6 linked regions of the Sus scrofa genome follow. The protein of the gene in region 1 interacts with the protein of each later gene in a biochemical or structural test. Links are inferred from orthologs where the notes say so. Each region holds a gene or a part of one and is shown in the gene's direction. Other genes may lie near its edges.

Region 1 (4,600 bases):
AGATTCAATGCAATTCCCATCAAATTACCCATGACATTTTTCGCAGAACTAGAACAAACAATCAAAAAATTTATATAGAACCACAAAAGACCCAAAATTGCCAAAGCAGTTCTGAGAAACAAAAACCAAGCAAGATACAAAACTCTCCCAGACATAAGGCAATATTACAAAGCCACAGTCATCAAGACAGTGTGGTACTGGTACCAAAACAGATAGACCAATGGAACAGAATAGAGAACCCAGAAATATACCCAGACACCTACAGTCATTCAATTAATCTTCAACAGAGGAGGCAAGAATATAAAATGGGAAAAAGATAGTCTTTTCAGTAAGTGGTGCTGGGAAAACCAGACAGCGCCATATAAATCAATGAAACTGGAACACACCTCACACCATGCACAAAAATAAACTCAAAATGGCTGAAAGACCTAAATGTAAGACAATACACCATCAGACTCCTGGAAGAGAACATAGGCAGAACATTCTCTGATATCAACCTTATAAATATTTTCTCAGGTCGGTTTCCCAAGGCAACAGGAGTAAAAGCAAAAATAAACCAATGGGACCTAATCAAACTGACAAGCTTCTGCACAGCAAAGGAAACCATAAAAAAAAAAATACAGCTTTAGAGAATGGGAGAAAATAGTTTCAAGTGATGCAACTGACAAGGGCTTAATCTCTAAACTATAGAAACAATCTATACAACTCAACAGCAAAAAAAACCCAATGGAAAAATGGGCAAAAGACCTGAATAGATGTTTCTCCAAAGAAGATATGCAGATGGCCAACAAGCACATGAAAAAATGCTCTACATCCCTGATTATTAGAGACATGCAAATCAAAACTACCATGAGATACCACCTCACACCAGTTAGAATGGCCCTCATTAATAAGTCCACAAATACAAATGCTGGCAGGGGTGTGGCAAAAAGGGAACCCTCCTGCATTGTTGGTGGGAATGTAAATTGGTACAACCACTATGGAAAACAGTATGGAGATGCCTTAGAAAACTATACATAGAACTACCATATGACCCAGCAATCCCACTCTTGGGCATATATCTGGACAAAGCCACAGTTTCTTTGAAAAAGACAAATGCACCGCATGTTCAGTGCAGCTCTATTCACAATAGCCAAGACATGGAAACAACCCAAATGTCCAACGACAGGTGAATGGATTAAGAAAAAGTGGTATATATACACAATGGAATACTATTCAGCCATAAAAAAGAACAAAAATAATGCCATTTGCAGCAACATGGATGGAACTAGAGATTCTCATACTAAGTGTAGTAAGTCAGAAAGATAAAGACAAATACCATATGATATCACTTATATCTGGAATCTAATATACGTTACAAAAGAATCTTTCCACAGAAAAGAAACTCATGGACTTGGAGAACAGACTTGTGCTTACCAAGGGCCAGGGGGAGGGAGTGGGATGGACTGGGAATTTGGGGTTGATAGATGCAAACTATTGCCTTTGGAATGGATAAGCAATGAGATCCTCCTGTATAGCACTGGGAACTGTATCTAGTCACTTATAATGGAGCTTGATAATGTAAGAAAAAAAGAATGTATACATGTATGTGTGACTGGGTCACCTTGCTGTACAATAGAACACTGTAAACTAGTAGAACACTGTAAACTAGTTATAATGGAAAAAAATAAAAATCATTATGAAAAACCCTAAGTTCTTGAGATGTGGAAAAACAGCAGACAAGAAATGAGTTTGTGAGGCAAAGAGAAAAGAAAGCAATCATTGCATTGATAAAGATAAGAATGCAAGGCCCATATCTGACATGTATAATTGTTATGAAGTTCAAGTGAAAGGTTGTTTTATCTCTCTATTGCCCTTGAAATTATTTAAAGGAGCAGGATCTCATCTTTTTACTGCCTTGTCATTAAAAGTCTTAATTGCATTGGAACGAACTTTGTTGACAGAGCTTCCTGTATTTGATATTTGCAATGTCATCACATACATAGTTATATAAGATACTAATACTTTTTTTTGGTCTTTTTTTCTTTCTAGGGCTGCACCTGCAGCATATGGAGGTTCCCAGGCTAGGGGTCCAACCGGAGCTGTAGCTGCTGGCCTACACCACAGCCACAGCAACGCAGGACCCGAGCCATGTGTGCAACCTACACCACAACTCACGGCAACGCCAGATCTTTAACCCACTGAGTGAGGCCAGGGATCAAACCCGCATCCTCATGGATGCTAGTCAGGGTCTTTAGTTGCTGAGCCGCAATGGGAACTCAAAGAGATTTTTTGATAGGAGATTAATTTCTTTAAAATCTAATCCCAAACTATTTACACCATCTTCTTAAATTTTTAACTTATTTGTAAAAATCTACTGAGTCACTATATTTTGTTTAATGAAAAGAAATTGTAAGTGTGCTCAATAAGCTATTTCAATTTCATACTTTAGTTCATGCCTAGCTCTTTTGTTTCCATTAACATGATTGAAAACCAATCTGATCACTAAAACCCTTCTATTTTTATACTTGATGTTTTGTAAAAGGATCAAAGTTCCTTCATAATCAGCCTTTATTTATTTCTGATGCTAATGTGTGAGAGCACATATGTGTTGTGTGACTCCGAAGGTGTGGGGAAACAAACATGCTGAGTGAGATTGAAAATTTGGTCTTGAAATAAAGAAATAAATGTCATGCTGAGGTTGATACAGCTGCACCTGTAAGCATTGCTTTCTGTAAACTTTCCTCAGTAAAATGTAAACCAAACTGAAATTGCTCCTGGCTCTAAATTTGTGATCATGAACTTGAAACATCTTTTAATATCTGCATGATTACCATAGACTATCTTAGCAATGATTCTGTGTTTGGCTAAGCCATGCTCACTTAGAAATCTCTGTAGCTTTTGTTTCTTCAGACTCTTTAGGTATCTACCTGTGCAAATAGACATCTTTAGAAGATCATGGCTAGTGGATGTTTAATTATTTTAAGTTGCTGTTGGTTCAAAAGCCCTTAATCTGTTGTTCTTGATTTATCCCAGTGGCTGAGAAGACCAAAGAGCAAGTGACAAATGTTGGAGAGGCAGTGGTGACAGGGGTGACAGCGGTAGCACAGAAGACAGTGGAAGGAGCAGGGAGCATTGCAGCTGCCACTGGCTTTGGCAAAAAGGATCAGCTGGGCAAGGTATGGCTGCGTATCTTATGTTATATTGAAAGCTGGTGAGATCACAGTGCATTTTCCGGCAAGACACTAGGCAGGAATAAGATGCTTACTTGGCGGGGGGATTGCTTGACCCTCCCTCACAAAAAAATACTACCTTAATATGCATGTTCTTTTTGGAGGTATTTACCCAGATAAATGCCATGAAGATTGTACAATAAGTGTGATTGTTTTATTTTCCAGGAAGAAAGTTGATGAAATGAACAGTGTAATAAATGTTCAAAAGAACAGTGACATTTCAGAAAGAATGGGTGCTTTTATGTCAGCTTGGAATCTTGGAATTTCTCTTTGTTGGGATATAGCAAATTCTTTGTGCGCAATCTCTCAATGTTCAAATGAGACTCTTTTACTTGATTTTTTTCGGGGTGACATCATCTCTTATTAAATGTTACATTTGCTTATTACATAAGAGTTCATTTCCAAATATATGTTTCTGGAAACGGAGAGGCTTAAACTATATTACCAGCCAGAGGCTGTGGTTTTGCGGTGATTTTAAGATTCTCAGAAGAATTCTGACTTTGCCTTTCTCTGCAAATGAGATTCTAGGAAGGTTATTCAAGAGTTATTATGACTTTCATTCTTAACAAGTAAGCAACAGAAAATGAGATGTCAACTGGAAGATGAAATTTTGCAGGTTTCATGACCATGGCAGTAGAATGACTCTTGCTTTTTTCCCTGCTACCTTGAACACATAAGGCGTACCCTTTCCTTGACTCTTCCTGGAAAATTCTTTCCTGAATTTAAGCATTTGGCTCACTCCCTCATTCCCTCAGGTCTATGCCAAACAGTACTTCTCAGTAAGGTCTCTCCTGGCCTATATTATATTGGAGCCATTCTCTTCCTTCTGCTGTTCGTAATTTCCCTACTCTGTATTTTTCTTCTTTTTTGGCCAAACCATTGATTATCTTTAAAAATAATAACTTATTTTTATGCATGTTGTTTATCCAATAAACAAGCACCATGGAGATGGAATATACTAGTTTTCACTGATGTTTCACAAGTGTCTAGAAGGGTGACTGACATGTAGGAGATAATGAAGGAATGTTGATTGCATTAAGGTGGGAAGAGAAAGGAAATAAACGATAAGCAGGGATCTTGGAATATAGCCATGATTGAGACCAAGGTCCTGATTGTACAGGTGAGGAAATTCACAAAGGAGAAGGAAGCAGTCTAAGGTCACATAGCCAATTGTAATGAACTGAAAACCAGCAGTGTTTTTCCATCCACTAATGTTGCTTCCTCAAACCCTTCCTCAAATTTTACCTTTCTTTTGGGAATTATGGAACAACCAAATTGAACTGGGAAAATTCTCTGCTTTAGAATATTAAGAAACCAGGGAAACGTGTGCCATCCCCATCTCACTGCCACTTAATGTAAATTGCTAACAAGGCATGCAAATATTTCAT
Region 2 (5,092 bases), on another chromosome or scaffold:
AGCTTAGGGTGTTGGGACAGGGTGGCGGTGGGAAGTCCAGCCTCTTTGTATCTCCTTCCAACCTTAATCTGTCTTAGACACAGACACCACAGCTTTTGAACTTAAAAGCCTGGAATCTGGCATTTTTGTTCTCTAGCTAGAAAGCAGAGTAGTCTCAGGGCCAAAAAGCAAGAGCTAGCCCCCTGCAGCGTCATCTAGGACCCTCAGGGAAGCTGTTCTTTTCTTCCTTTTCACATTGACTGAGCCACCCAGACACTGTGTGTGTGTGTGTGTGTGTGTGTGTGTGTGTGTGAGTGCATGGGACCAGGGCAGTGGCAGCGCCCAGGAGGGGGAGAAGCTGAGAGCATCGCATCTTAGATCTGCTGAGTCCCCGCACCCCGCACACACTCCCTGTTCACTCACCTCCCCCACACAGCTGGGAAATGACACCTCTGGTGACAGAGCCTGGCCCAGGCTTCTGCTGGGAGGGGGTGGGGTGCTGCATGGGGGAGGTTGTCACACCCGGAGGCCCTGGGAGGCCTGGGTGGGGGAGGGAGGAAGCCAGCTCCTGTTTGTCTCAGAGACCAAGGCCACCAGCCCCCTCTGCCCACTTCCAGGGTTGCAGTGAGCACCCTCGCTCCAGGGCCACTAGCCACCCCCCCCCCAAGGTACCACCTTCTTTACTCTTTAGGCTGATCTGACCTACCCCACAGGACAGGCAGCTCACCTGTTCTCAGCCTGTCCTCTCTGAGGGGACCAGTCCTGCTGAGAATGAGCAGAGGGGGTGTGTGAACTGCTGGGTCTGTTTGGAGGATCTAAACAGAGACAAGTCAGGGATGGAAGGGGCCGGGGATAATCTCCTACCATGTCCCGGATCAAGCCATTTAACAAATACCCCTGTAGTGTCTAGTATGTAATCTATTTGGGGTCCAGAGACAGGCAAAGGGCTATCCAAGGTCACTCCCAGGAGGCAGGGACTGCCTTTGCCTCCTTACTGTCCTGCCCCCCCAGGGAAAAAACAAAACGTAAAAGCTAAAGTTCTGTCCTTTCGCCTGGGGTCAGAGGCTGAGCCCTCCCGCTGCAGGGTAGCTGATCCAACTCTGGGTCAGAGCCAGGTTTGGGCCAGTCTGCAGGCGCACCTGAAGCAGCGCCACGGGGCAGCCTCTTGCCTTCCTCCTAGGCCCCTAAGCTTGCCTCTTGTCGGTCAGGCCCAGGCTGCCAAGGACCCCTGGTCTGAACCCCAGCTGTGAGGAGAGAGTTCCTTGTCCCAGACCTCCTTTGAGATCTCCACCTGCGGGCAAGCTTTGGGGACCAGCTGCCACCACTCCACCTCAGCCGCGGGGTCTCGCCTGTCTGCATCGCCCCGGAACCTGCACGTGACCCTTCTGATTTCCCATCTCCCGCCCGTATCTGAAATGCCGAAGACCGGTCAACAGGCGTTGGGACCGTGGGGGCGGGCTGAGACCTGGGTCGGGGTGGGGTGCGGACGGGTCTCACGGAGGAGGTGTTTGGGGCCGAGGGGTGCCATCAGGGCCGGGCCATGGGTGTGGGTAGGCCGCGGCCCCCAGGCTCGGGCCGTGGAGGGAGAGGCCGGGGGCCCCGCCTCGCGGGCCCCGCCGCGGGCGGGCTGCGCTCCCCGCGCCCCGCCCCCACGCCCCGCCCCCGCGGCCCGGCTGCCGCCGAGTGGCCCGCGGCGCCCCGCCCCCGCCCGCAGTGCCCGGATGTGGGTGACGTGCGGCCGCCATCTTCCCGTCCCGGGCAGCCAGCGCCAGTCGGAGCCAGCGCGAGCCGCCGCCGCCGCCACCGCCACCCCTGCTGCTGCCAAGTCCTCCGCCCGCTGCCCCCGCCATGTGAGTCGGCCGCCTGCGCCCGCCCCGGCTGCCCGCGCCGGCCGCCGCCCCTGCGTCCGAGCCTGGGAAGGGCTCGGGGTCCAGCCCGCGCCCCCCGCGCGCCCGGAGGCCAGGCCGGCGCCCGTGACGGCGCGCGGGCAGCCGGAGAGCCCCGGGTCCCCGGCCGGCCGCGCGGGCGCTGGCGCCGGAGGGAGCAGACGCAGGGTCCGCCCGCCCCGCCCCTGTCATCGCTGCCGCCTTTCATTGCGGGTCCCCCCGACCGTGGCTGTGAGGTCGCCCTCATTTGACAGGCGGGGAAACTGAGGCCCGGAGGGGGGAGGGGGCCTCCCTCAAGGTCACGCGGCCGCTTGCCCGCGGGGCCGGGCGAAGGCCATGGCTCCCTTCGGGTGGCTCTCCTCCCGAGAAGGAGGAAGGGGGGCACGGATGGATGGACAGACGGATGGGCGGAGCCCTCGCTGCGGGGCCGAGGGCTCCAGGGCCTGGATCTTAATCCGTCGGTGCCCCTCAGGTCGGCAACCGCTGCGACCGCACCCCCCGCCGCCCCAGCTGGGGAGGGAGGCCCCCCCGCGCCCCCTCCAAACCTCACCAGTAACAGGAGACTGCAGCAGACCCAGGCCCAGGTGGATGAGGTGAGTTGTGGGGGGGGCAGAGGCAGTGGGAACGACCCTGAGGATGGCAAAGCGGTCTGGGGGTCCATCGTGGGTTGAGGGTGATGGCAGTTCACGTTTTCGCGTTCGGAGACAAAAACATACCAAGCCGCGTTCCTGACGTCGTGTAATTGGGAGGGCCGTGGGGTGTTAGCCTTGCTGGCCTGCGCCGTTTCACCCTGGGCGGGTGTGCTCTCGTGACCCGCAGGCTGCTTGAGGCTCGGTAAATAGAGGGTGCTGCTGTGATATGAGATGTCTGGCCACCAGCATGCCTCTGACGTGTGCTCCTTGCATGTCCCCAGGTGTGCTGGGCATGCTCCGCATATGTTGTTGCATGTCAGCCAGACAGCCCTAGGGTGCATGTCTCGTACGTGGGCTCCTGGCTGAGGAGAGCCCTTTGAGATGGGTCTCCCCCCCCCATCCCCGCGCCCTTCCCGCAGGTGGTGGACATTATGAGGGTGAACGTGGACAAGGTCCTGGAGCGGGACCAGAAGCTGTCGGAACTGGACGACCGCGCCGACGCACTCCAGGCGGGGGCCTCCCAGTTTGAAACAAGTGCAGCCAAGCTCAAGCGCAAATATTGGTGGAAAAACCTCAAGGTAAGGGTGGAGGCCGGAGGAGTGGTGGGTGGCCGGGAGTGTCCCCGCCTGTCTCCCTGACCGGCCCTTCTCGCCCCCAGATGATGATCATCTTGGGAGTGATTTGCGCCATCATCCTCATCATCATCATTGGTGAGTCGGGCGGGAGTGGCCGGGCCCCTTTGTTGGAGAGGTTTCCCCCCTGACGTCTGGGTTTTGAAGGTCATTAACCTCGTTTTTACTATTCAGCAAAGAGCACACAGAGCTGCCAATAGCAGTTCTGATTCATCTAGCACCCCAAACCTCAATGTTGTTGAGCTTGTACTTTGCCTGGTTCTGGGCAATTTCTGGTAAGATTTTTGGAAACCGGAAAGCCGGTGGAGATCTCCACTGCTCCCTTGAGGACCCTTTGGGTTTGTCCAGTATGGGAACCCTGGAATTGGGGTGTGGGGGAGCAGCGAAGACTCAGGGGCTTGAGAAATGGCTAGGAAGCCAACCACCCTATTGGTTGAGAGCTGTGGTCTCAGAGGCTCCGAGGATTCGGGGTCTGTGGCCCCAAAGCCATACCGTGACGTTGAGGAGACCTTGAAGCTGACCTGTGCAGCTTCCTTGCTTTACAGATGGAGGATCTGAGACCAGGAGGGGAAGGGACGGTCAGCCAGCTGGGAGGTGGGGAAGGTGGGAGCAGGGCCGGGCCTGACACGCTGCTTTCTCTCTTTCTCTTTCTTTCTCCCCTCTTCTTCCTTCTCTTTCCCTCTCTGCAGTTTACTTCAGCTCTTAAACCCCTGAGGAGCCTGCCCTGCCCAGAGAAGGGCCTCTCCCCCCCATCCCCAGCCGCTCCTCCACCTCTCAGCCATATCTTCCAGCCCCCTCCTCCCCCGGGATCCGCGTGTGTGTGTCGTGTGTGTGCCCCCTTGTAAATAGCCAGCTGTTATTTATACATATATAATATTATATATATTTGGTCTGTTTGTAGTTTTATTACTAGAAGATTTTTCCGGTTGTCCTTAACACCCCTTCCTGAGGTTCCCATCGCCTCCTTTTGCCCCTCCTCTCCTCTCCTTTCCCTCTCTTCCTCACCGGCCCCAACTCCCTTCATTTGCATCTGCTATGCAATAGTCCCTCTTCCTCCCCTCCTTCCCTTGGATTTAGCTGATCCTTCCTCCCGCCCTGGTCTTCCCCATACACCCCCTCACCCCACCCCACCCCCCGACAAAAAAAAAAAAAAGAAAAGCAGCTGTCCAGGACTCCCTAGGTGCATCTTCTTTGCATCATTGGGAGGCTCTGAGACTGGTCCCTTTTGGTCCTAAGAATCCCAAGGTCTTCTGGGAGCTTCCAGCATGTTAATTAGCATCATTTGCATACTGACATCCCTTTTGGTTTCCTTTTTTTCTCCATCAGGCTTCTGTTCATTCTTTCAACTTGTGTTTCTTTTTTACTGAGGAGTTAGTCCCTATTGGTCTGGTCCTTGTATCACACTTTTCATTTGCATGACATTACTTGCAGGTGGTAGGGAGCCTGGGCATTGGGGGTGTCAGGCTGTTCTGGCCCCCAGAATTGCCCTCTCCGAGCCCCTCCAGTCCAGTTTGCCTCCCCTTCCCCGATTTTCCAAACCTCTTGTCCCTCCTTCCCCTCCCCCCAGCTGGTGTGTACGTGTCTTGGAGTTCAGTGTGTTATGATGGACCAATAATTCTGCCACTTGGAGTCTCTCCCCACATTCCTGCTCCCCAGTTTTCAAGTGGGGTGCTCAATTGACATTCCCATGGGGTCTCCCTCCCTCCCATCTGCCTGACCCGCCTCCTCCTCCTCCCAGCAGGAGAGTTGGGGGTTGGCCACAATCTGATTTTTCTTGGGAGAGGTGGCTACCTGTGTGTGTGGGGTCATCACTGCCTTGGGGAGGAGTGGGGCAGGGCAAAGAATCCTCCCAATTCCTGCCTGAAATCTCTGGCCCCACCCCTGCTGGGGGTTTGACTGAAAGCCCTCCTCACCCATTTGGGGGGTGTTGCCCTATCAGCTCCTCTGATTGCCCCCCTGAATT
Region 3 (5,328 bases), on another chromosome or scaffold:
TTCGTCTGCTTCCAATTCCATTTCCAACTTGACTTCTATTTTTAAGTTCATTGTTTCTACACCTTAAGGCACATGGCCTCCTCAGCCCCTATGTTCAATCATCTGCTAACCTAGTAGATTCCATTGCCGTAGACTCTCTCAATTAGGTTTATTGTTTTCTATTCTAAACTACCATGTTTCTAGTTTAAATCCTATCTCCCACTTAAGAGTATCACAATGGACTCCTGGCTGGACTGTCTAGTATCTCTCTACCTAGAATTCTAAATGATTTTTATTCATTACCACTAGGTTAATCTTCCTAATGAACTGTTCTGATCTGCGATCTCTGGTCTAAAACCCTGAAATCTCTCTCCTGTTTTATTAAATTATTCACTTATTTTTTGTTTTGTTTTTCATTTTTTATTTTTAGGGCCATACCTGCAGCATATGGAAATTCCCCAGGCTAGGGGTTGAATCAGAGCTATAGCTGCCAGCCTACACCACAGCCACAGCAACTCAGGATCCATGCTGCATCTGTGACCTATACCAAAGCTCATGGCAACACAGGAACCTTAACCCTCTGAGTGAGGCCAGGGACTAGACCCTCGTCCGCGTGGATACTAGTCATGTTGGTTACCGCTGAGCCACAACGGGAATGCCGCCACTTCTTTATCCTGGCATTCAAAGCCCTCCAGGTTCTGGACTCAATTCTATTTTTTTGGCCTTCATGCTGACCCCATCACCTAGAATACCCTTTCTTCCTTCACCTTTACCTGGCAAACTTCTAAATTCTTTAAAGCTGTTCAAATACTCACCTCCATCACAAAGTTTTTTGTTTTTGTTTCTGTTTTGGCAGGGACTCTGAACCTTCCTTTGAACCCCTATACCACTTTTATTAACAGTTTTATTTTAATGCTGACCAGACTTTGCCTCATATGATAAAAGCTGTGTTTTCTATGCTTCTCAAACTTTTCCATTAGAAGTATATCTAATTATACAGAAAAAATGAACGGAAAGCCCCAGGGCTGTCACAATAGGCTGCCTGGAATATTAATTTTTTTTTAGGGCCACACCCACTGCCCACGGAACTTCCTATGCTAGGGGTTGGATCCGAGCTTTAGCTGCCAGCCTATGCCACAGCCACAGCAATGTGGGGTCTGAGCTATATCTGCGACCTACACCACAGATCACAGCAACCCCGGATCTTTAACCCACTGAGTGAGGCTAGGGATCGAACCCGCATCCTCATGGATCCTGGTCAGGTTTGTTACCACTGAGCCACAACAGGAACCCCAAAATTAAATTTTAATGTGAATTTTTCAGTGTTATTATTAGACTGTTTTAATACTTAAATATGCTTTTTGACCAACACTCTAGGAAGATATGTCTATTTAACCTCAAGGATTTAGGGTACACCTGGCACTCTGTGAAAAACCTAACCCTCCCCACATGCCCACTAAACTAAGCTTTCTAGAGCAGACACTGCCTTACTACATATGTATCCCCTGTAAAAACAATACAGTGCCATCTACAGATGCTAAAAAAATACGGTTGAACTCTGACCCAGGATAGGTTAGCAAGTGTTAACTGTATTTACTAAATGTTTACCATGTACCTAGACATTTGTTGTTTCAAAAGAAGCTTATTCTTCATGGGACGACCCTGAACAAGTAAAAAAAACTGTACATAAAAGTAAAACCACGGAATGTAAGCCATCTGTGTTCTGCAAGGCGACTCAGTCTCTCCACATGGCAAGTGACACACTGGAGTAGTGTGGAGTACCACTTTAAAGTCCACTCTGACCTCTAAATTAATTTCTGGAGATTGATCATTTTCTGCTAACACTGAGCAAAGTTTAATCCTCTTTAACTGACAATAAAAGGCTTACATCCTCTCGCCCTGCATTTTGAAGCCCAGCAAAGCCTACTGCGCGCGGGGCGGTGGAGCGGAGGAAGCCTGACCCCACCAGAGCAGCAAAAAAAAAAAAAAAAAAAAAAAAAAAACCTAGCCGTACCGCCCCCTAACAGCCCCCACGGGTTTCCAATTGGTCCCTGTGGTTCATTCCCTTGGCAGATTGGCCTTCCAGCTTGCCCGTCGCTTCCACAGACCCCACATTTAGCTAGCAACTATTGGTAGATCGTTACGTCATTGCCCCATCTATCCTGCTCCCATTGGCTCGCACATGAAGGGGCGGTCATAACGTCACAGGCAAGAGCCGCCATTTTGACTGAGCAACCCTAGTGACAGGAGCCGAACAAGCCGCGCAGGTTGTCCCGTGTCCCCTCCCCCTTCCCTTCTCCAGTTGACTTCCCGGGTCCCCTACACTCCACAGTCCCGGCCCCGCCATGTCCCAGAAACAAGAAGAGAACCCTTCGGAGGAGACCGGCGAGGAGAAGCAGGTGAAATGGAGGGGGTGCGGGCGGGCAAGCTGGGCGACCGTGATGGGGCGGGAGACGATCTCCCACCGGTGCGGATTGGTCGCCATGGTCTCCGGCTCTGCAGGGGTTGGCCGCTTCTTGCGTCGTGCAGGGTGAGCCTCAACAAGGCCTGCTGCTTTGGCGCTGGTTAGTTGGGTGGCTTGTCATTCAGTGTTGTAACCTTTCTGATTGGCCAATGGGTCTTCGGCTCAGCCCTTTGGAGCTGTACTATAATTGGCCGAGCCTGGGCGCGGGGCGGGTGTTTGGAAAGACTCGGTGAATGAAAGGGGGCTGGTGGTCCCAGGATTCTGTGTGTTACTGGTTAGTAGGGGTAAAATGACCCAACATCTAGGCAGGGGCCCGCATTCTAAATCCTCAGAAGATACAGGTCGAGGGAAAGAAGTTTAAAAAGGACCACATTGGGAGAAGGGAGAAGCGGAATTATTATCATGGCTAGTTTAAGACAGCAACTTTCTCGAGAGACCTATTTTGACCACTGGGGATGGCCTGTTGCCCACCTTCAAAGAAGACCGAATAAGATTGAAGAGGACTAGGGCTCTGAACAGAATCACGGAGGTTAATCCTAGAAAAGACACCGAGACAGTAATGACAAAGAAAGACGCCACAATATTCTCCCCAGACTTCCAACTCAGGGGGACTTAGTTCACCCGCAGTTATGCGATGAAAACACGTCAACCTCTTTGGAGATTTGTATTTGACATAACATTTAGTATTGGACTCGGGGATTCATGATATATACCTGGTGTTGTATCTGCCAGTTTTCCAAGAGAAGTGAAAGTAAATCCATTTTAAAAAGAGCCACAGATTGGCTTCAAATCTTTTTTGAAAAGTCACTAAAGAAAAGGGCAGCAGGGCCCACGAAAAGTAAGAAGAGTAACAACGCAGTAAGAGCCCCTGCAAGCTAATTGGGCTCTTGGCATGTTACCCAAACTTCCATCACTTGCCCCACTAGGAAAGATGTTGATTTTTTAGCAAAGCTGGTGGGTAAATGCTAGTGGACCTACTGTATCATGATTTTCCTGAAGTTAAAAACTGTCATTTTAATCCGTTTACTTGTCACCTTCCTATGACAATGTTTATGGAATTGCTGAAGCAATGCTGTCTTGTTACTAAGGTGAAGATTTCTGGAGAAGGCCACAGAGTTATGCTCCTCCAAAGAGAGACTTTTCAGATAACCAGCTTAGAAGGGAACATCTCAGGAGAGTTATCCACTTTGATATCCCATTTGACCTGTATTACGTGTTAGGGACAGCCAAGGAACTTTCCTGTTCATCTTGTATCACCAGAAGCCCTGCTAGCTTTCTCTCTGTCTTTCCTAGCTTCATGTTGAATGAGCTATGACTCGCTCCTTGATTCAAGTATCGTGCTTATATATTACCTTTAACCCAGTACTCACAGGTCACTGGTGTGGTTCCTTGGGTGTAGTGTGAGAAGGAGCATATCTTTCTCTTCTCACAATACAGTCATCTTGGGCTTTAGGGATTTGAACAAAGGTTAGCTTCATTTAAAAATAGAGTGGAGATAGCATATTTACAAGTGGGTAGATCTCCAGGAAAAGGTAAGAGTATAAAAGTTATCAGTATTAGAAGCAGTTGCTTCTCAGTGTTTAATTTTATTGGCCCATTTGTTTCCTCCAGGACACGCAGGAGAAAGAAGGTATTCTCCCTGAGAGAGCCGAGGAGGCAAAGCTAAAGGCCAAATATCCAAGCCTAGGACAAAAGCCTGGAGGCTCCGACTTCCTCATGAAGAGGCTCCAGAAAGGGGTATGGGGCATAATATCTTACCCTCTTTGGAGCCACAGAAAGCCTTAGGGATGAGACCTATGGACGTTGTAGTGAATACTGATTTGGAGGTTTTGTTTGGGGGAAGTAGTAGAGAAGAATTAGAAACTTGGAAAAACAAGGCAGATACTGTAAATACCTGATAAGTTATCAGCTATCTTCTGATCTCCCCTGTAGGAAATTAGGGCTTAATGTAGGGGCATTTGGGCACAAGGTTGGGGGAGTGAGGAAAGGATGTTAGAGTCTGGAATGCTGACAGTTTCCAGACATTTGCCTGTTTAGATGGTGGGAGTTTTAGGACTACACATTTAGGATTTGAGCTAAATTTTAGGATGCACCATTTCAGAAAAAGATCAGACCATCTGTCCTGCAGATTTCCTCAACTTGATATGAATAGCAGATTTCTTCAGACATTTGAAGAGATTTATTTTTCCTGTCCAGTGTGGTCCTTCTCACCAAGGGAGAATCTTACCCTCATAGCCATCTAGCTCCTGATCAGGTTTCTCAGTCCCCAGACGTACCTAAAGCTGACTAAGGGATCGTAAGTCATTAACCTGGAGGGTGTTTCTCCGTGAGGATGAAATGGAGAGGGAAACAGATCCCTGTGGAGAATCCCAGTTATTGTGTCTTAGTCACAGATGATAATGTGATGCTGATTTGCTGCTTACCTTGCTGTCGGCAAGGCAGGCGTGGGCAGGCTGTCACAGCCATGGAACATGTGTGGGAGTGGTAGGAGTCAGAGGAAAGTACATTATCCTCATGAACAAGCCCAGTTTCTATTCATAGTCTGAGAGAATAATTTTTAATTTTGAGGTTTAGTTTGAGACTGATCTGCTGATAGCCCCAGATCGACCCTTCTATGTATGTTACTCATTTCTGCTCCCACAACACCAAGCCCACTAGAGGCTAATAGGTCCTCAGTAAGCCTTTATGAATAGTCAGTAATTTGGTTGAACCTTCCTGTACTCGTGGGGCTACAAAGGATGTAGGAGCTGTCTCTTAACTCCAAAAATATGTACTCTAGCTGGGAAATTGCTTATATACCTGAGAAAGAACACGATGGGGAGAAGACAGGTGTTTGTAATTAATGCTAAGCTATGTATGTATGAGGTAAATAAAGACTTGAAAGG
Region 4 (5,107 bases), on another chromosome or scaffold:
AAGCCACGACGGCGACCTACATCACAGCCCACACCAATGCCAGATCCTTAACCCACTGAGCGAGGCCAGGGATCGAACCTGAGCCCTCATGGATACTAGTCAGGTTCGTTACCGCTGAGCCACAACAGGTACTCCCCTTTTTCCTCCACTTCTTGAACATCCATTCTCTCCACCCACCATCAGGCTCCTTTTCCTCCTTCTCCTCAGGCACTGCTTTTGACAAAGTTTTCAGTAACCAAAAAGGTATCAGACCTAGTGGCCATTGCTCTGCCTGTATTTCCTTGACCTCTAAGAAGCATTTAAGCCAGATAATCAACATCTTTCCTCTTGAACTTTTCCCTTTCTTGTCTTTGAAGACATCATCACTCTCTTATTTTTCCTCCCACTTTACCATCTTGGTATCATTTGACAGCTTTCGCACCTTCGCTGGACTGCTTAATACTGGGGGCCCCAGTGCTCTCTTGGCCCACTCCTCTTTTCTGCCTCCACTCTGTAGGTGGCCCTGTCAAGATCCACGGCTTTAGAGTTGCCTCATGGCACAGTTGGTTAAGGATCTGGTGTTGCAGCTTGGGTCACTTCTGTGGCATGGGTTTGATCCCTGGCCAAGGAACTTCCACATGCCATGGGAACAGCAGAAGAAAAAAAAAATCCAAGCTTTAAATGCCAATTATGTGTTCATGGATAACTCTTCTAGCTTCAACCTCCAAACTGACATCTCTGTTGGATGTTTAATGGGTATCTCAAGACTCAACATGGTCATAACAGAATTCTTGAGGCCCACCCCCAGCACCTGTTCCTCTTTCAACAGTCCCATCTCAATAAGTGGAACCAGAACTCATCCACCTGCACTTTTCCAGGCCCTGATTTCTTTTTTTTTTCTTTTTTTTTTTTTTTTTTACTTTTTAGGGCCACACCCATGGCATACGGAGGTTCCCAGGCTAGGGGTCTAATGGGAACTACAGCTGCCAGCCTATGCCACAGCCACAGCAACTCGGGATCTGAGTTGCATCTGTGGCCTACACCACAGCTCACAGCAATGCCAGATCCTTAACCCACTGAGTGAGGCCAGGATCAAACCCGCAACCTCATGGTTCCTAGTCAGATTCGTTTCTGCTGCACCATGATGGGAACCCCACCTGACTTCTTTTCCCTCATCCAGCCCTACCCTGAATTCATCTATGTCTCACCAGCTACCTAGCCCAAGTCTTCGCCTCTCCCAGCCTCTGAATGGATCTATTTCCATGCTTCCTATAATTTATTCTCCACTCAGCAAAATAAGAAATCATGTCACATTGAAGTTCTGCCTAAATCTAATGGCTTCCCATTCTCCCAACTCCTTTGAAAGTACCGCCAGGCACAACCTAGTCCACTCTCTGCTCCAGCCAAACTGCCTCGTACAAAAGCCTTTACACCAACTAGCGCTTCACCAACGCTAAACGCTGTGCCCTGTAGCTGTTGCTTTCACCTGTTTCGGATCTTAGTTCCATCTCACCTTCTCATTGAGCACTCCCCATTCTATCACACCGCCAGGTTGTTTTGAACTCTTATCACTATCTAAAATTATCTTGTTTGTCTGTGTTGGCCCCTAGAATTCAAGCTCCTGAGTGTAGGGACTTGGTCATTGCACTGGATCTAACACTTAGTCGGTCCTCAACAAACTGAGCAGTTACTAAAACGCAGAGTGGGCCCTTGTAACCAGCTTTGAGACCCTATGATTGGGGGGGGACCTCTGGGGCTCTACAGGAAAGGAACAGGGCAAGGGAGGGGCGCTGCCCATAGATGGCGTCAGGCTGCAAGGCTTCTTGAATAATTCACCATCCTAACAACTCAGCCTCAGGGAGGGTTAGGGCGCGGCCAGGACGACAAAACAGTAGGAGGGAGTGGAGATTGGGGTTCCCTACGGGGCAATTTCTGGGCACTGGATGTTCCCTATCCTGAGGCTCCCAGAGGAGGAAGCTCAAGAAACCAGCTCAGCTTCCGTAAGGCGGACTCAAGGAAAGAGTTCAATCTCCCCTCTTAATTGGGTGTGCGGCTAAGCGTACACCAAGGCGCATGCGCGCCTCTCGCTTCCCGCGCCCTTCTTCCGAGTAGACCCCGGAATAGGTTTGCGTCCTCCTTGGGCCACGGCTGGTCAGCGGAAACAGTCCGTCCCCAGCATGACCAATAAGAAGTGCGGAAAGGGGCCCCGTCCCGCCTCCTGATGATTAGAGGGTCTCCCTTCTCGAGCGAGGTCCCGCCTCAGCCCCGCCCTGTGGGCCCTGAGGGTCTCGCGGCTGCGCGTGGTGGGGCTGCAGCCTCGCTCCGGCGCGGGCTCCGCTGACCCCTTTCTGCCGCCCCGCCCACCCCGCTTTGCAGGCTGCGCTGGGATTTCCCTTCGCCTCCGGTTGGGGCTGCTGTTTCGCTTTGCCGACGGTAGGCGTAATGGATTTTGCACTGTTTGGATCTTAACTGTCCCTTCCCCTGCGTCTGCAGTTCATCTTTTTTTTTTTTTTTAAATCATCATTGTTATTATTAATAGTAGGGATGGTCGTATTTTGCTAATGAAGAAGAGGGAGAGAATCTTCAAATTTTCTTCTACCCACTTGCGTTTTTGAGGGGTAGAGTGGGAGGAAGGTCTGTGTAATTTATCCATGTCTTCAAGTCATCCGAGAAATGTTCAGTGAGCACGGGACCAGCGCCGGGTGCTGTGCTACCTACTGGGGATACAGACTGATCCCTGTCCTGGGTTTACGCCCGGACAGATGAGCAGGCAAACGAGGTGGCTATATAACTGATATTAAGCCATTTGTGCAATGAATTGCAATTGTAATAAAAGCTACAAAGGAGAGAGATGTAAGGGCTGTCAGCTTGTGTTACAGGATGTGTGTGTGTGTGAAGGGAAGAGAATTTCTTAGAGAAAATGACATATGAGCTGAGTTCTGAAGGAGAGATGAATAGGCTTTAACTAGGCGGAATGGAGGTAGAGAGCGATGCATACTAAAGGAAGAGATTTTGTGAGGATTCTGAGGCAGAAAGGATGTAGAACAAGGGGTCCAGTCCATGGCGGGCTGTCATTGGAGGCTGGTCTCTCTGCCTGGACACTTGCCCCTTGTAGTCTGATTTCTACACAGCAGCCAGAGTGATCTTTTAAAAATATAAATCTGGTGTGGTCACTTCCCTGCCCCAAACTCTCCAGTGAATTTCCATCTTGGAACAAAATTCAGACTCTTCACTGTAGCCAAGGCCCTACAGACCTGCAGCATCTGATCCTCAACATTTTTCTCCAAACTCACTTCTTACCACTGCCTCCTTACTCGTTCTGTCCAGCACTCCCTTGCTTTGTAGTTCTCATAGCTCCCTGAAATGATTTTTTTTTTTTTTTTTTTTTTTTTTTTTGCCTATCACCCCCTTTAGAACATAAGCTCCATAGAGCCAGGGACTTTATCATCTCATTTATTTCTGTAGCCTCCGGATCTAGAAGAGTGCCTGGCACATAGGAGATGCCCAATTATTATTTGTTGAATGTGTGAATTGGGAAGCACATAGCAGGGGTGCCCAACCCTCTCAAGGGTGTTAGGAAAATGGATGCTGATGGCAGAGACAGTAAGGCTAAGGACTTAGTGATGCAAAAAGAATATTCATTTTTTCAGGAGAAGAAAATATAGCGTAGAACAGAGGCAAGATGGATGGTGGCCTATTAGAGGAAATGTGATTGGAGCATGTGGTCCAAGTGGAGAGGTGAAAAATGAGGCTGGGAGTTCTCATTGTGGCGCAGCAGAAACGAATCCGACTAGGAACCATGAGTTTGCAGGTTCCATCCCTGACCTCGCTCGGCAGTTTAAGAAACTGGTGTTGCTGCGTCTCTGGCATAGGCCGGCAGCAACAACTCCAATTAGATCCTTAGCCTGAGAACCTCCATATTCATCCCACAGGTACAGCCCTAAAAACAACAACAACAACAAATGAGGCTGGAACAAAGATGCCAGATCCCATACACCTTCGTAAAAGGCATCGTGGAGCCCTTGAAGGATTTTAGGAGAGTGGTAGCTTCAAAATTTGTTTTTTGTTTGTTTGATTGTTGATTTTTAGGGCTGCACCTGTGGCATATGGAAGGTCCCAGGAGATGGGCTGAATCAGAGCTGTAGCCACCAGCCTATGCCACAGCCCAGGCAACTGGTGATCCAGGCCACATCTGTGACCTACACCACAGCTCACGGCAACGCTGGATCCCCGACCTGCTAAGCAAGGCCAGGAATCAAACCCGAGTCCTCATGGATACTTGTCAGATTCATTTATGCTGAGCCACAAGGGGAACTCCAATTTTATTATTTTATTTTATTTGGAGGCACTCATGGCATGCGGAAGTTCCTGGGCCAGGGACCAAACCTGAACCACAGCAGTAACCAAAGCCACAGCATTGACAGTGTTTGAGATTTAACCTGCTGAGCCACCAGGGAACTCCTTTTTTTTTTTTTTTTTTTTTCTTAAAGCAAGAGCAATTTTATTTCTTTTTTTATTTTTACTTCTTTGCTTTTGAGGGCCACACCTGCAGCATATGGACGTTCCCAGGCTAGGGTTCAAATTGGAGCTGCACATACAGGTCTACACTACAGCCATAGCAACTCCAGATCTGAGCCTTGTCTGTGACCTACACCACAGCTCACAGCAACGCCAGATCCTTAACCCACTGAATGAGGCCAGAGATTGAACCTACGTCCTCATAGATGCTAGTCAGGTTTATTACTGGGAAGCCACCACGGGAACTCCAAGCAAGAGCAATTTTAGAGCCCAGAGGGCCCAGCATTAGCTGGGGGTGTAGGAAGTGCAAGAGAGGACTCATCAGGTGTAGCACCACCTTCCAGATGTTTGCCATGAGTAATGTTATCTGCATTGTTGCATGAAATCCTCATGACAACCCTGAGGCAAGAGTTTTGGAGATGAGGAAACTGAAGCTCCAAGAAGTCAAGTGACTTCCCAATATCTCAGTTCTAGTGAGAAATGAAGCAAGGATTTCAACCGTGTATAGTCACTCCAGGGTCCATGCTAAATCTCCCTTCCGTATTTATTGCTTCTTCTTGGGATGGAAGAGAAATGGAGGTGGCCAGAGGGAGCAAGGGTGGAGGTAGAG
Region 5 (5,390 bases), on another chromosome or scaffold:
GGATTGGGGCGAAGTCCTTTGAACCAGTCATGCCCCATACACAGTGAGCACTCAATAAATATCAGTTATTATTATTTTGTATTCCCCTGGAGCATCCTTCCAAAAACCCAGATTCAGCCACCACCTCACAGCACTTTTCAAATACCTACAGGGGTTACTCCTTGTCACTGAGATAAAGGTCTTATCAGGCCAACTGAGACTCCCATGCACCATCCCCACTGCCCCCCTAACCAAGCCCCAGTGCATCTTGCTTTAGCTGCTGCTACAATGCCTTCATCCCCACCCCATGGCACCTGTTCTTCTGAAATCTTCCAAAAGTGTTTGGTTATTGGCATTGCTCCCTTACTAGAAATGAGACTGAAGGAGAACCATTCTCAGAGCCCAAACAGTGGTTGGTACATAATAAATGCTTGGGAAATATCTACTGAATGATTGAATGACATCACATCTATTAATTTTTTTCATGATTTAGATTAATTCCACCAATTCAAGCACGTAGGCTTTCTAGATACCCTGTATAAGATTAAACTTTCTTCTGGGCTCTAATAGAGTATTTCTTGGACAAGTTTTATTCACTAATATTTACTAACGGTAAAATTCACTAATAACATTTTTAAATAATAACAGCTAACGTTTAAGCAGTGCTTATGATGGGCCAGTTTCTTGGCATAAGTCAAACTCATTTAACCCTCACCACCCCACCTATAAGACAGGCACTGGGGTTTTGTTTTTTTTGTTTACGGTGGCTGTAGGTGATTTTTTTTTTTTTTCGTTGCACCCTTGCATCCTTTATGCTATGCCAGGGACTGAGTCCGAGCTGCAGCTGCGACCTAGGATGCAGCAGGACAATACAGGATCCTTTAACCCACTGCCCCACCGGGACCAAACATACACCTCCCCAGCCACGGGAGCCACTGCAGTGGAATTCTTAACCCAGTGTGCCACTGCAGGGACTCCTAGAGAGGTACTGTTTTTATTCCACTTTTTCAAATAAGGAAATTGAGACGCAGAGAAATAAAGAACTTGTCCAAAGTCACACAGATGGTAAGCGGAGGACACCGCTCTTCACCCAGGCCTGACTGTTGTTCCTTACCACTGTCTCTCCTGCAAGGAATCGCCTGATTCCCAGCTACGTAGCCCCTTCCCCCAGTTCCAAGGTCAGGGGCTCGAAGTAAGCAGAAAAGCAATTTAACTCAGTACACATTAACTCGTGGTTCCCTCCAGGCTACCACCCTTCTCTAAGGCTTCGGCTTGGCGTGCAAAACGAGTACCCACATCTTGCATCAAAGTTGTGCACTTCTGACGGGTCTCAAAGATGAGGCTGTGTTGTATTGGAGGGGGTCACCCACTGTCGTCGCGTGTTTCAAGACCCAAGCCACATTTCTGGCACTCCTAGAATCTGGCAATCTCGAACTCTCTTTTTAGCAAACACTGACCACGAACTGCCTCCCGGGCCTGCCAGCAAGTCAGATGCTTTGAATTCAACGAAGGCTTCGGCAGGTCAGATGACAACAGGAATAGTTTACCTCCTCCCCGCCTTAGGCAGCAGGACCAAGAAGTGGTTCAAACACATCCTTAAGCGCCCAGCGCTAGATCCTGCGCCGCTGCAGACCTGATCCAAGCCCCTCGTCCTGCTCCATGCCTAAAGCTCCGTGTCTCGACCCAGAGCTCCATCCTAAGTGCCAGGTTGGCGGCGCCGCACGCCTTCTCAGCTCTCTGCTGACTCAACCCGGGAAAGCGTAACTAACCTCTCGTTTTTTTCCGACCAGTCCAAGGACGCCCGCGTCCCGCCCCGCCCACCACTCAAGCCCCAGCCCCGCCTAAAGTTGCCCTTCTGGTTTGCGCCCGCGGGACGCGTCAGCGTGTCTCCCCGGGGTGTGGCTAAAGGACTTCAGCGACGCCTTTCTGAAGGGCGGCCCCCTCCGCAACCCGGAAAGGCAGATCCCGCGCGGCGGCGGCGGCGAGTCGGGCATGCTCACTGGCGCGGGCCGGGCCGGCAGCCCTGGCAGGAAGCGCCCGCGCTAGGCGGCCCCCGGCGCTGCCAGCTGGAGTCGGGCGGAGCCGGCGCCCCAGCGCAGGGTGGCTCCGCCAGTCCCCGCGCGCCTGGGCGGCCTCACACGTGTCCAGGCGTCACGTCCGCGCGCGCCCCCGGGGCTTGCGTCAGCTGCTGCTCCGGTAGCGGGTGGGCCGAGGTTCTGCGTACAGCTCGGCTTTGGGGCCACGACGCCGCGGGGAGGAGGAGTCTGGGGGTGCGGAGGGGAGTTCGGAGCTCCCGGGGCCGCAGAGATCGTCGGCGTGGTCCAGTCCCCCGCCTGCCCGGCGCCGACTGTCTTCACTGCTTGGTCCTGGGCTGGGCGCGGTGGCGTTGCCCCGGAGCCCGCCGCCCGCGGGGCGCGCACCGCCTTGACCCCGGCGGCCCCGCGGCAGGCAGGCGCCCGCAGTTCCATGGTTGGTTCAGAGCGCGATGAGCCGCCCGTCCTCCACCGGCCCCAGCGCTAACAAACCCTGCAACAAGCAGCCGCCGCCGCAGCCCCAGCACGCTCCGTCCCCGGCTGCGCCCCCGGCCGCCGCCACCATCTCGGCTGCGGGCCCCGGCTCGTCCGCGGTGCCCGCCGCGGCGGCGGTGATCTCGGGCCCCGGAGGCGGCGGCGGGGCTGGCCCGGTGTCCCCGCAGCACCACGAGCTGACCTCGCTCTTTGAGTGCCCGGTCTGCTTTGACTATGTCTTGCCCCCAATCCTGCAGTGCCAGGCCGGGCACCTGGTGTGTAACCAATGCCGCCAGAAGTTGAGCTGCTGCCCGACGTGCAGGGGCGCCCTGACGCCCAGCATCAGGAACCTGGCTATGGAGAAGGTGGCCTCGGCAGTCCTGTTTCCCTGCAAGGTAAGCTCAGGTGCCAGCTGCGCACTTTTCCCGGCGACCTGAAACTCCCTTATCCTCCAAACCACTCGCAGGCGCTGGGAGGCAGGCGGCATCTCTCTTATTTTAACAACAACAACAACAAAAGTTTACACCTTGTCCACCCTCCCCCATGCCCACCTGTCCACTTTGGGAGTAGCTTTGGGGTGACAGCTGCCCGATCACTGACCCCAGCCTAACTGGCACGCGATCGCTGTTCGAACACATCACAGCTCTCCCACCGGGAGCCTGCGTACTCTGCAGACGTGTACTTGGGTGTGCTTGGTAGAGCTGGGCCGCTCAAGTAAAACTTGGATCGGGAAGCTGACCATCTGTGAGGGATTGAAGAAGGGGAAAAGGGTAAACTAAACGCACCCTTTACCAGCACTGGCCTTGGAAGGAGTGGTACTAGATTCCTCCTGCATGGTTTTGCGCACCCCTGACACATGGGAGCCTTTTGCACACCCCTGACACGTGGGAGCCCTCCGGAATGAGGCTAAAAAAAGGGTACCTATAGCCTGTTTTCCTCCAACAATAAGAAAACCCTCTAAGCCATGCCTTTCCCTCTCCTAGCCTTCAGAGTTTTGTGTTTTGTTTTGTTTTTTACTAAGGGGTGAAAACAAGAGTTGATCAGGAATTTAACAGGAAGGGCATTCAGGAGCTGTTACAGTTCTTTAAAGAACATTGGTTTATTTTTTATTCAGTTTAAAAAGTTATCCATGCTCTTGAAAAAAAAAAAGAAAAAGCCAACTACTAAGACAAGAAAAAACAAGTGAAAGACCAAGACCTCTCACCTCCTCTCCCACCAGTGTCAGGTTTAGTGTGCATCTTCATAGGCTTTTTCTAACCATATATAAATATACTCTCCGCAGCTGAATATAGAACCCTAGAACCCTAGATGTCAGTGTGGGAAGGTTTATATATGCACACACAGACATAAGTGTTTCTCCAAAAATGGCTTCTTCAACTTGCTGTCTTAACTTCATATCATCGTGTTTTTCTATGTCTGAAACATAGCTCTACCTCACTGTATTTTAGAGGCTGTATAATACAGCATTGTGTGGTCATATGGTAATGTCTTGTTACTTAAAAATCTTCAGGAGCCATTTCAGAGAAATACCTATCTATATTACCTCATTATAATGTAGAATGTTGACCATAAAGTTCTTCTTCTAAACTTAATGTCGTTAATACTTTTGAGGGTTTGTTTGTTTGTTTGTAAAAGTGAGCACTCTGCCTCTTGGGCCATTTAGGCTGTATTGCGTTTCTCCTTGGTGCTGCTTACTTTTATAGGACAAGAGCTTATTTTTAAATTAAAAATAATCCACTAGAGAACTGAAGGCTGGGACTTAAGTCAGTAAAATGAGTGATTTAATTTGGTCTGTGCCCTGCCACAAGTCAAGTTTAAAATAGCATACTCAAATAAGGGTCTGAATCCATGTTTGGGGTTTTTCATCAGCCTTAATAAATTATTCTGCTTTCAACCACTCCTCATGTAATGCTTACTAATTCCCCAGTCTAGTAGTAGTTTGTCATGAAATTTAGACAAAATAGTTGTAGAATTTTCTTAGGGTCATGAAAACGTGGGAACCTAGTGATCATGAGAAGATTTGGTGATAGGTGACATAAGAGGTTTGAATTTGAGGTTTGAACTATATTGTAGGGGCTGGGTGAGGAGGTGGGGGATGCCCCACAGGGTTTCTGGGGAGCCATCTTCTCCACCCTTCACTTTCCCCTGAACCTTCAGTGGCCAAGAGAAGAAATGCCTTTAGATGAATTACAGTTCACAAAAGAGCATTTGATTCAGCTATCCCTAATATTTTTATTTTTTTTATTTTTTGCTTTTTAGGGCCGCACCTGCCACATATGGAAGTTCCCAGGCTGGAGGTCAAATCAGAACTGCAGTTGCCGGCCTACACCACAGCCACAGCAGCAGCCGAACTGCATCTGTGATGCAGCTTACGGCAACCCCGGATCCTTAACCCACTGAGTGAGGCCAGGAATCAAACCGGCATCCTCAGAAAGACTTACGTAAGGTTCTTAACCCGCTGAGTCACAACAGGAACTCCCCTAATTTTTTTTTTTTAAAGCAATATCATAAGAACACTGTTTCTCCCAAGAGAAAGGGAAGGAGACAGTTACTACATGCTGTGTTAAGTGTGAAATTTCACTTTCAGGATCCAGAATTCTGGTACCTACTGAAGCATCCATTCTTTCCTAACATGTAACACGCTAATAAAGTCTCTCTGGAAGAAGAGTTCTCTTGGGAATCAAGGGTACCCAGCGTTTCTGTATCTGTCAGTGATTTTTAAAGTTCCCATTCTGTCAGACTGCAGTTGGATGAAGCGGACACTTGGCAGCTGAAATTAAACAAGGTCACCCATCCCCTTACAGACCAGGAACCAAGCTTAGAAAGTGACCTGGTGGGGAGGGGTCACTTTTGCATGTATGAGATTTATAAAGCTGAAGTATGCCTGCCTCAGCTTTGGTTGAT
Region 6 (5,246 bases), on another chromosome or scaffold:
CAGTTACACTAATCTTTATAAAGCAGTTTCTTTATTGTCCTCTTTGAAGGAAATACATCTAAAAATCACCAGTATCCTACCACTCACATAACTAACATTGGTTATTTTCTGGTGTATAGTCTTCCTCATTTCTTATACTTTCATCCCAGAAAAATCATGTATGTTCTGTTTGTAAATTGCTTTACCAATACACCCTTCTTCCTTGTCTGACACTATTTCTCCTTTTTAAACTTTTTTTTGGATAGGAAACTATCAGCTTCCTGTTGCTGCTCTAAGATAACATTTCCACAGGTTCAGAGGCAGACACTAGGATGCAGACATCTTTGGGGGAGGAGGCATTATTGCAGGCCACAGAACATTTGTTAACTGCTTAAGAAAATGAAAAGCCCAACATTGTCTCTTGATTAGAGTAGTCAGGCATAAGGTTATGATGAATCAGAGAAATTCGTCTTCGGTCATTTATAATAGGAAACAAAGCTTCCCATATCAAATCGAGAAAAGTTTTAAGTCCATTTACTCTAAGTTTGTTAAAATGGCCAAGTAATGGTTAAATGCTCTGAAATTAAGGCAACATAAAGGCTGATTCTAAAATGTTTTTTGATTTAGATTAAAATCTAGTTAAACTTTATACCAAATGAGACTTGAGATGTAGGCTTTAGAAAGGGTAGGTAATTGGTAAATTTTGCGTTTTTGCTAACTTTGGATTCCATGGGCTTGTCTTAGTGTAATGTAGTTTTTGTGAAAAATTTCCTTCCTTGTAAAACCCATTTAAATAAATAATCTATCTAGACATTTTACTATATTGTGCTAAAAATTAAATGACAGTTAATCTTTGGTATACTTGGTCTCTAGTTGGTGACCTCAGGCAAGGCAGGTTAACTTTTGGAATTATGTAAGTGAATACTTCCATATTTTGGAATCTGTACCACCTGTAATGTACGTAATTTACCCATCTCCCTTAATCCATGTAAAAGCATGCAAGGCTGGCAGTACTGTTCTGATTTTACAGTTGAGTAGGTGGTGAAAGCTGGGTTTGAATCCCAGTGTAGATGACTCCGGAACTCTTCCATTTTTACTGTCGTGACTGACTTACTGAGAAATGTGTCCATAGATTAATGGTTTTCAGACAGTGTTGTAAGCTTCAATACAGGTCCTTTGGAAGTTGGAGGAAAAAAACTTTTTAGTTTGAGGAATTTGTCATCCTTTTTACTTGTTTTACAAATTTGGACTCTGTCTTCATACTGTTTGGAAAGAGTTTTTCTGCCTAAAACATTTAAAAGTCTTCTACTTTAGAAACCCAACACCTAGCTAGAGTGAATATGTATTAAAAAATAAAGACATTGGTAATAATAATTTAGATTTGTCCGTGGACAGATTATATTTTCAGTTATGTTTCAGTTCCTAATGATGTTTTGTCTAATATCAAAATGAGACTGAGGTGACTGAATACTATTAATAGGATGGGGAAGTGATTTGAATTAAAATTTTATGCTGAAAATGGACAATCTACAATTTACACAGGGTTCACTCTCCACTACAAGCTCTTGCTCCCTTTAAAGGCTGCCCTAAGCGTGATGTAATGACAGGTTAAACCTCTGAATGCTGGAGCTGACGCAATGAGAATCTGAGGCCCAGGACTTTATTGGGACAAGGGTAATGCTTGTTTAAAAACAAAACAAGCTATTTTGTTTAATGAGGGCGTTTAAGATGGCTTTCCCAGAGTGGGAAGAGAATAAAATCTCAATTTGGACGTTGAAGTAGAAGTTTAATATGGTTATGTGTTTACGACTCTCACTGCGACGGCTTCTCGAATCGAGAAAGGAAGTTTGAAATAAGGTGCTGACGGCGGTAAAAATGGAGAAGTGAGTTAGAATTGAGGAAATAAGGTAGTTGACATCTGATAAATAGTTAATGAAGTAGACAAATGCTTTTGCTATATAAAAATCCGGAGTTTGCACGGTTAACTGGCAGAGTATAGAGCAGAGAAGAGTGCTTGTCTGGCCACGTATTTTCCATATATTCTATGTAGCGCTATGAAACCACCCCAAATTGCGATATCCGACTGTTTGGGCCTACTGAAACGGAGTGTTTCCACCTCACGTAAGCCGGTGGAAAAGCTGAGGCGTGCGGTATGTCTCCGGGGATCGCGAGGTTCTGCGGAGCTGGGTAGCTGTGTGGGAGTTGCGCGCTGCATGCTCGGGATTCTTGCCAGAGCCGTGCAGGAGCGACTGCGAGCCCTGGAGCCGCCCTAGGCCGAGTGGGGCGGAGCTTGCAGCCCCGCCTCCATGCGCCGGCCCGCCCCTCTCCTGCCGCGGCAGCCACCGCCCTGAGTGCTTTGAGCCTTCGGCCGGCTGGCAATCTGCGTTGGAGCAGGCTCTCCCAGCGGCAGCCCGGCCCAGGCCTCCAAATGGCTCTCCCCGCGGGCCGGACCCTGCAGCGGTAGCTCCAGAGCTGGGACTGAGAGCTGCACCGCTTCGTCCAGTCGCTGCTGCGCACTCTCCAGCCCTGTCCTTCACCGAGCTGGCCAGAGCCTAGCCGATGAATTTGGGAAGACAAACTTGGGAGACAGACGAAGGTTTAGGGCCCAGCAGAGGACAGCTCAGCAATGGCTCCCATTTTTGGAGACGCAGGCGAATTTGAGCTCATGGGGAGGTGTGGTCGACTCCTCTCGGGGCGGGAGGGTGCTTCATTTCTCTGCCGCTGTAGCCGGTGCTTCTGAGGAGTGAATGGAGTGTATGGGGCATGGCACGTGCCTTCCTGTCTTGAAAAGTTGACCCTGGACAAATTTAGGAACGGAAGGTGTCCAGTAGGGCCCTCTGTTACAAATAGTCTCTATTCGTGGGGGAAAGGCTATGAGCTGCCTGGCTTCTCATGACCGGGAAGTCTCCCTTACCTTTTCTGTACTCCTGGAGGGGCGTCTTGCTCACTTGTTTACCAGCATCCGGGACAAGGAAGAGAAAAGGTATTACTGTTAAGAGACTGGGTTGCTTAAATTGTGAATTGGGCAAGTTGTTATAAGCTGGTGGAATTTGAATGGATCAGGGAATGGCTGCAGCGTAATTGAGCTGGAGATGTTTCTTTTGAGCAGCTCTACTTTTCTCAGTTTAAAACAAACTTCAGGTTATGCAATGACTCCTCCAGGGTTGTCCAGACACTTGAATCCTTGATTCCTACTGCAGGTCTGCTGTGTTCTTAGGATTCCTTTTCTGTTTGAAGATGGAGCTGGGTTCCATCTTCTGAGCTTTGGGAGGTTTTAGCAGCTGCTGTCCTGTAATACTTTCATTCATAAGAATTACAAGCTACATTTTGCTTGCTTTTCACACTTTGAATAGGAATTTAAATCGTGCTTTTTCTACAGTGTTTGGAAAAATAATAAATATGTGTTATATCATAAGTCTGAACTATTGATGATAAATGTGTAACTATTTTCCTAGGTCAAGAAATTAAACAGTAATGCTTTGCTTGCTTAGTAGTTATATTATGTTGAATACAAACTGAGTTTACTGCCTCCTGACGCGATTTGTTGTTTTGGCGTAGTGAATTGAAAGGCATTGGTGGCTTAGATCATTTTGTGCTGAAGGAACCACTTCCCAGTTACTACGTTGCTCTCTTAAAATAAGCAGCATAAAATGGACTATGAAGTAAGCATACAGCACACATACAGGGCATTTTGGTAATGCTAAGCCCATTGTTCTGCTAGTGACCTAAAATAAAATGCATAGATCATCATATGCACAAAAAAATCTCCTGGGGAAAACTGGATTACAGGAGAGTTCCTTTATATTGGTCTAGAACACCTGGGTTACACAGGGCTTCAGATGGTAAGAATTGATTCCTGTTGTCTTAAATCCTTGTGATGGGCCACATTATGATAGAATCCTGTGGTACTTTTGTTTCTCCTTGAACTTTAGTCCTTTAGTGACAGTGATCTTTCCGATAGAATAATTACAGTTAGGGAAAATATGAAATCTGAAGAGTTAAATTTTAGTTTGATAGAAATATGGCTTAGGGTTCTTGGGAATATACTCTTAAGGACGTCCGTAGACTGATCTTTTGTCATCCCCAAGAAAATGGCCTACCGTATCCCAGCAAAGGTAGATTCCTGGGAAAAGCTGCTAGTTTATCTTTCATTCACCCTGACACATAGTTAACATTGTTGATCATTTCTTCCAGATGGCATTTATTTCATAAATAGTGTTTATTGGTGTGCTGATGAATGCTTCAGCAACACTGGTGAACTTTAGGGTACGAGGCATTCTTTACCTGTTGACTCTATCCCTCACCTCCACTGTTGTGTGAGTCTCTCTGGTGCTTTTGATCTTTATTTTCTTGACTCTCCTTCACCTTTGCAAATTATACTGGTTTATATTGTAGAATGGAAGTAGAATGATTTACTGTGTCTAAATACTGGACTCAGAACTTTTATGAGAGGATGGCCCTCCATTTCTCTTCTACTTTCTCACTTTTGAAGGGGGCATGGATCAGTAGGAAACAAGATTAATTCCTAGCTGGTGTTAACTTTCCATGAAGATGGATGATGAAGAGGAGGTGGATGGTGGGATGGCAGCAGACCCTTCCCCTTGTCGCCCCTTTCATTCCCCAAATTACTCCTAGAGCAGGTAACCGTTCATCATTAGGAGGAATTAATCAAAGTCAGTACCCTGGTGATCCTTTGGATCACATGTAACTCCCTGGAGCACATGTAACAGCTGACTCAGAATGAGTAGGGGAGGTGGGGGAGAAAGTCCAGTCAAAACTGATTTTATTGCACTTAAGCTCCTTCTTGTTTATGGTCCAGTTTCTATTTTAGCATTTATTCCACGTAGTCCATCCAAGTATGATTTTTAACATTTTTTTTTTTTATTTTTTTTTATTTTTTTGTCTTTTTGTCTGTTGTTGTTGTTGTTGCTATTTCTTGGGCCGCTCCCGCGGCATATGGAGGTTCCCAGGCCAGGGGTTGAATCGGAGCTGTAGCCACCGGCCTACACCAGAGCCACAGCAACGCGGGATCCGAGCCGCGTCTGCAACCTACACCACAGCTCACGGCAACGCCGGATCATTAACCCACTGAGCAAGGGCAGGGACCGAACCCGCGACCTCATGGTTCCTAGTCGGATTCGTCAACCACTGCGCCACGACGGGAACTCCCTTTAACATTTTTTAGAGAAAAGGAATTCTAAATGTGCTCTGGAACCTTTTGAGAAGAGTACAACTCACGTATTTGTGTCAATTTATGTTTTTTTTTT

Evidence for each region.
Region 2: the proteins of SNCA (region 1) and VAMP2 form a complex in vitro, tested with the Homo sapiens proteins (3 studies listed by BioGRID and IntAct). The link is inferred for Sus scrofa from reciprocal best matches to the Homo sapiens genes SNCA and VAMP2.
Region 3: the proteins of SNCA (region 1) and ENSA form a complex in vitro, tested with the Homo sapiens proteins (2 studies listed by BioGRID, with this or other methods). The link is inferred for Sus scrofa from reciprocal best matches to the Homo sapiens genes SNCA and ENSA.
Region 4: the proteins of SNCA (region 1) and GBA form a complex in vitro, tested with the Homo sapiens proteins (2 studies listed by BioGRID). The link is inferred for Sus scrofa from reciprocal best matches to the Homo sapiens genes SNCA and GBA1.
Region 5: of the proteins of SNCA (region 1) and SIAH2, one has a biochemical effect on the other in vitro, tested with the Homo sapiens proteins (4 studies listed by BioGRID). The link is inferred for Sus scrofa from reciprocal best matches to the Homo sapiens genes SNCA and SIAH2.
Region 6: the proteins of SNCA (region 1) and SIAH1 form a complex in vitro, tested with the Homo sapiens proteins (3 studies listed by BioGRID, with this or other methods). The link is inferred for Sus scrofa from reciprocal best matches to the Homo sapiens genes SNCA and SIAH1.

What each region holds. Positions count from the first base shown.
Region 1 is NC_010450.4:129,267,445-129,272,044, forward strand, and holds part of SNCA (alpha-synuclein), read left to right. Parts: intron 1-3,015; coding exon 3,016-3,158; intron 3,159-3,377; coding exon of another isoform or gene 3,378-3,389; exon of another isoform or gene 3,390-4,600. UniProt on the Homo sapiens protein: Neuronal protein that plays several roles in synaptic activity such as regulation of synaptic vesicle trafficking and subsequent neurotransmitter release.
Region 2 is NC_010454.4:53,378,838-53,383,929, reverse strand, and holds the start of VAMP2 (vesicle-associated membrane protein 2), read left to right. Parts: upstream 1-1,686; 5' UTR 1,687-1,827; coding exon 1,828-1,829; intron 1,830-2,337; coding exon 2,338-2,458; intron 2,459-2,916; coding exon 2,917-3,075; intron 3,076-3,155; coding exon 3,156-3,207; intron 3,208-3,818; coding exon 3,819-3,835; 3' UTR 3,836-5,092. UniProt on the Homo sapiens protein: Involved in the targeting and/or fusion of transport vesicles to their target membrane. Major SNARE protein of synaptic vesicles which mediates fusion of synaptic vesicles to release neurotransmitters.
Region 3 is NC_010446.5:98,525,724-98,531,051, forward strand, and holds the start of ENSA (alpha-endosulfine), read left to right. Parts: upstream 1-2,178; 5' UTR 2,179-2,324; coding exon 2,325-2,378; intron 2,379-4,054; coding exon 4,055-4,180; intron 4,181-5,328. UniProt on the Homo sapiens protein: Protein phosphatase inhibitor that specifically inhibits protein phosphatase 2A (PP2A) during mitosis.
Region 4 is NC_010446.5:94,581,855-94,586,961, forward strand, and holds the start of GBA (glucosylceramidase), read left to right. Parts: upstream 1-2,050; 5' UTR 2,051-2,412; intron 2,413-5,107. UniProt on the Homo sapiens protein: Glucosylceramidase that catalyzes, within the lysosomal compartment, the hydrolysis of glucosylceramides/GlcCers (such as beta-D-glucosyl-(1<->1')-N-acylsphing-4-enine) into free ceramides (such as N-acylsphing-4-enine) and glucose.
Region 5 is NC_010455.5:90,968,162-90,973,551, reverse strand, and holds the start of SIAH2 (E3 ubiquitin-protein ligase SIAH2), read left to right. Parts: upstream 1-2,013; 5' UTR 2,014-2,464; coding exon 2,465-2,881; intron 2,882-4,871; exon of another isoform or gene 4,872-5,390. UniProt on the Homo sapiens protein: E3 ubiquitin-protein ligase that mediates ubiquitination and subsequent proteasomal degradation of target proteins.
Region 6 is NC_010448.4:36,358,372-36,363,617, forward strand, and holds the start of SIAH1 (E3 ubiquitin-protein ligase SIAH1), read left to right. Parts: upstream 1-2,188; 5' UTR 2,189-2,871; coding exon 2,872-2,962; intron 2,963-4,471; exon of another isoform or gene 4,472-4,534; coding exon of another isoform or gene 4,535-4,619; intron 4,620-5,246. UniProt on the Homo sapiens protein: E3 ubiquitin-protein ligase that mediates ubiquitination and subsequent proteasomal degradation of target proteins.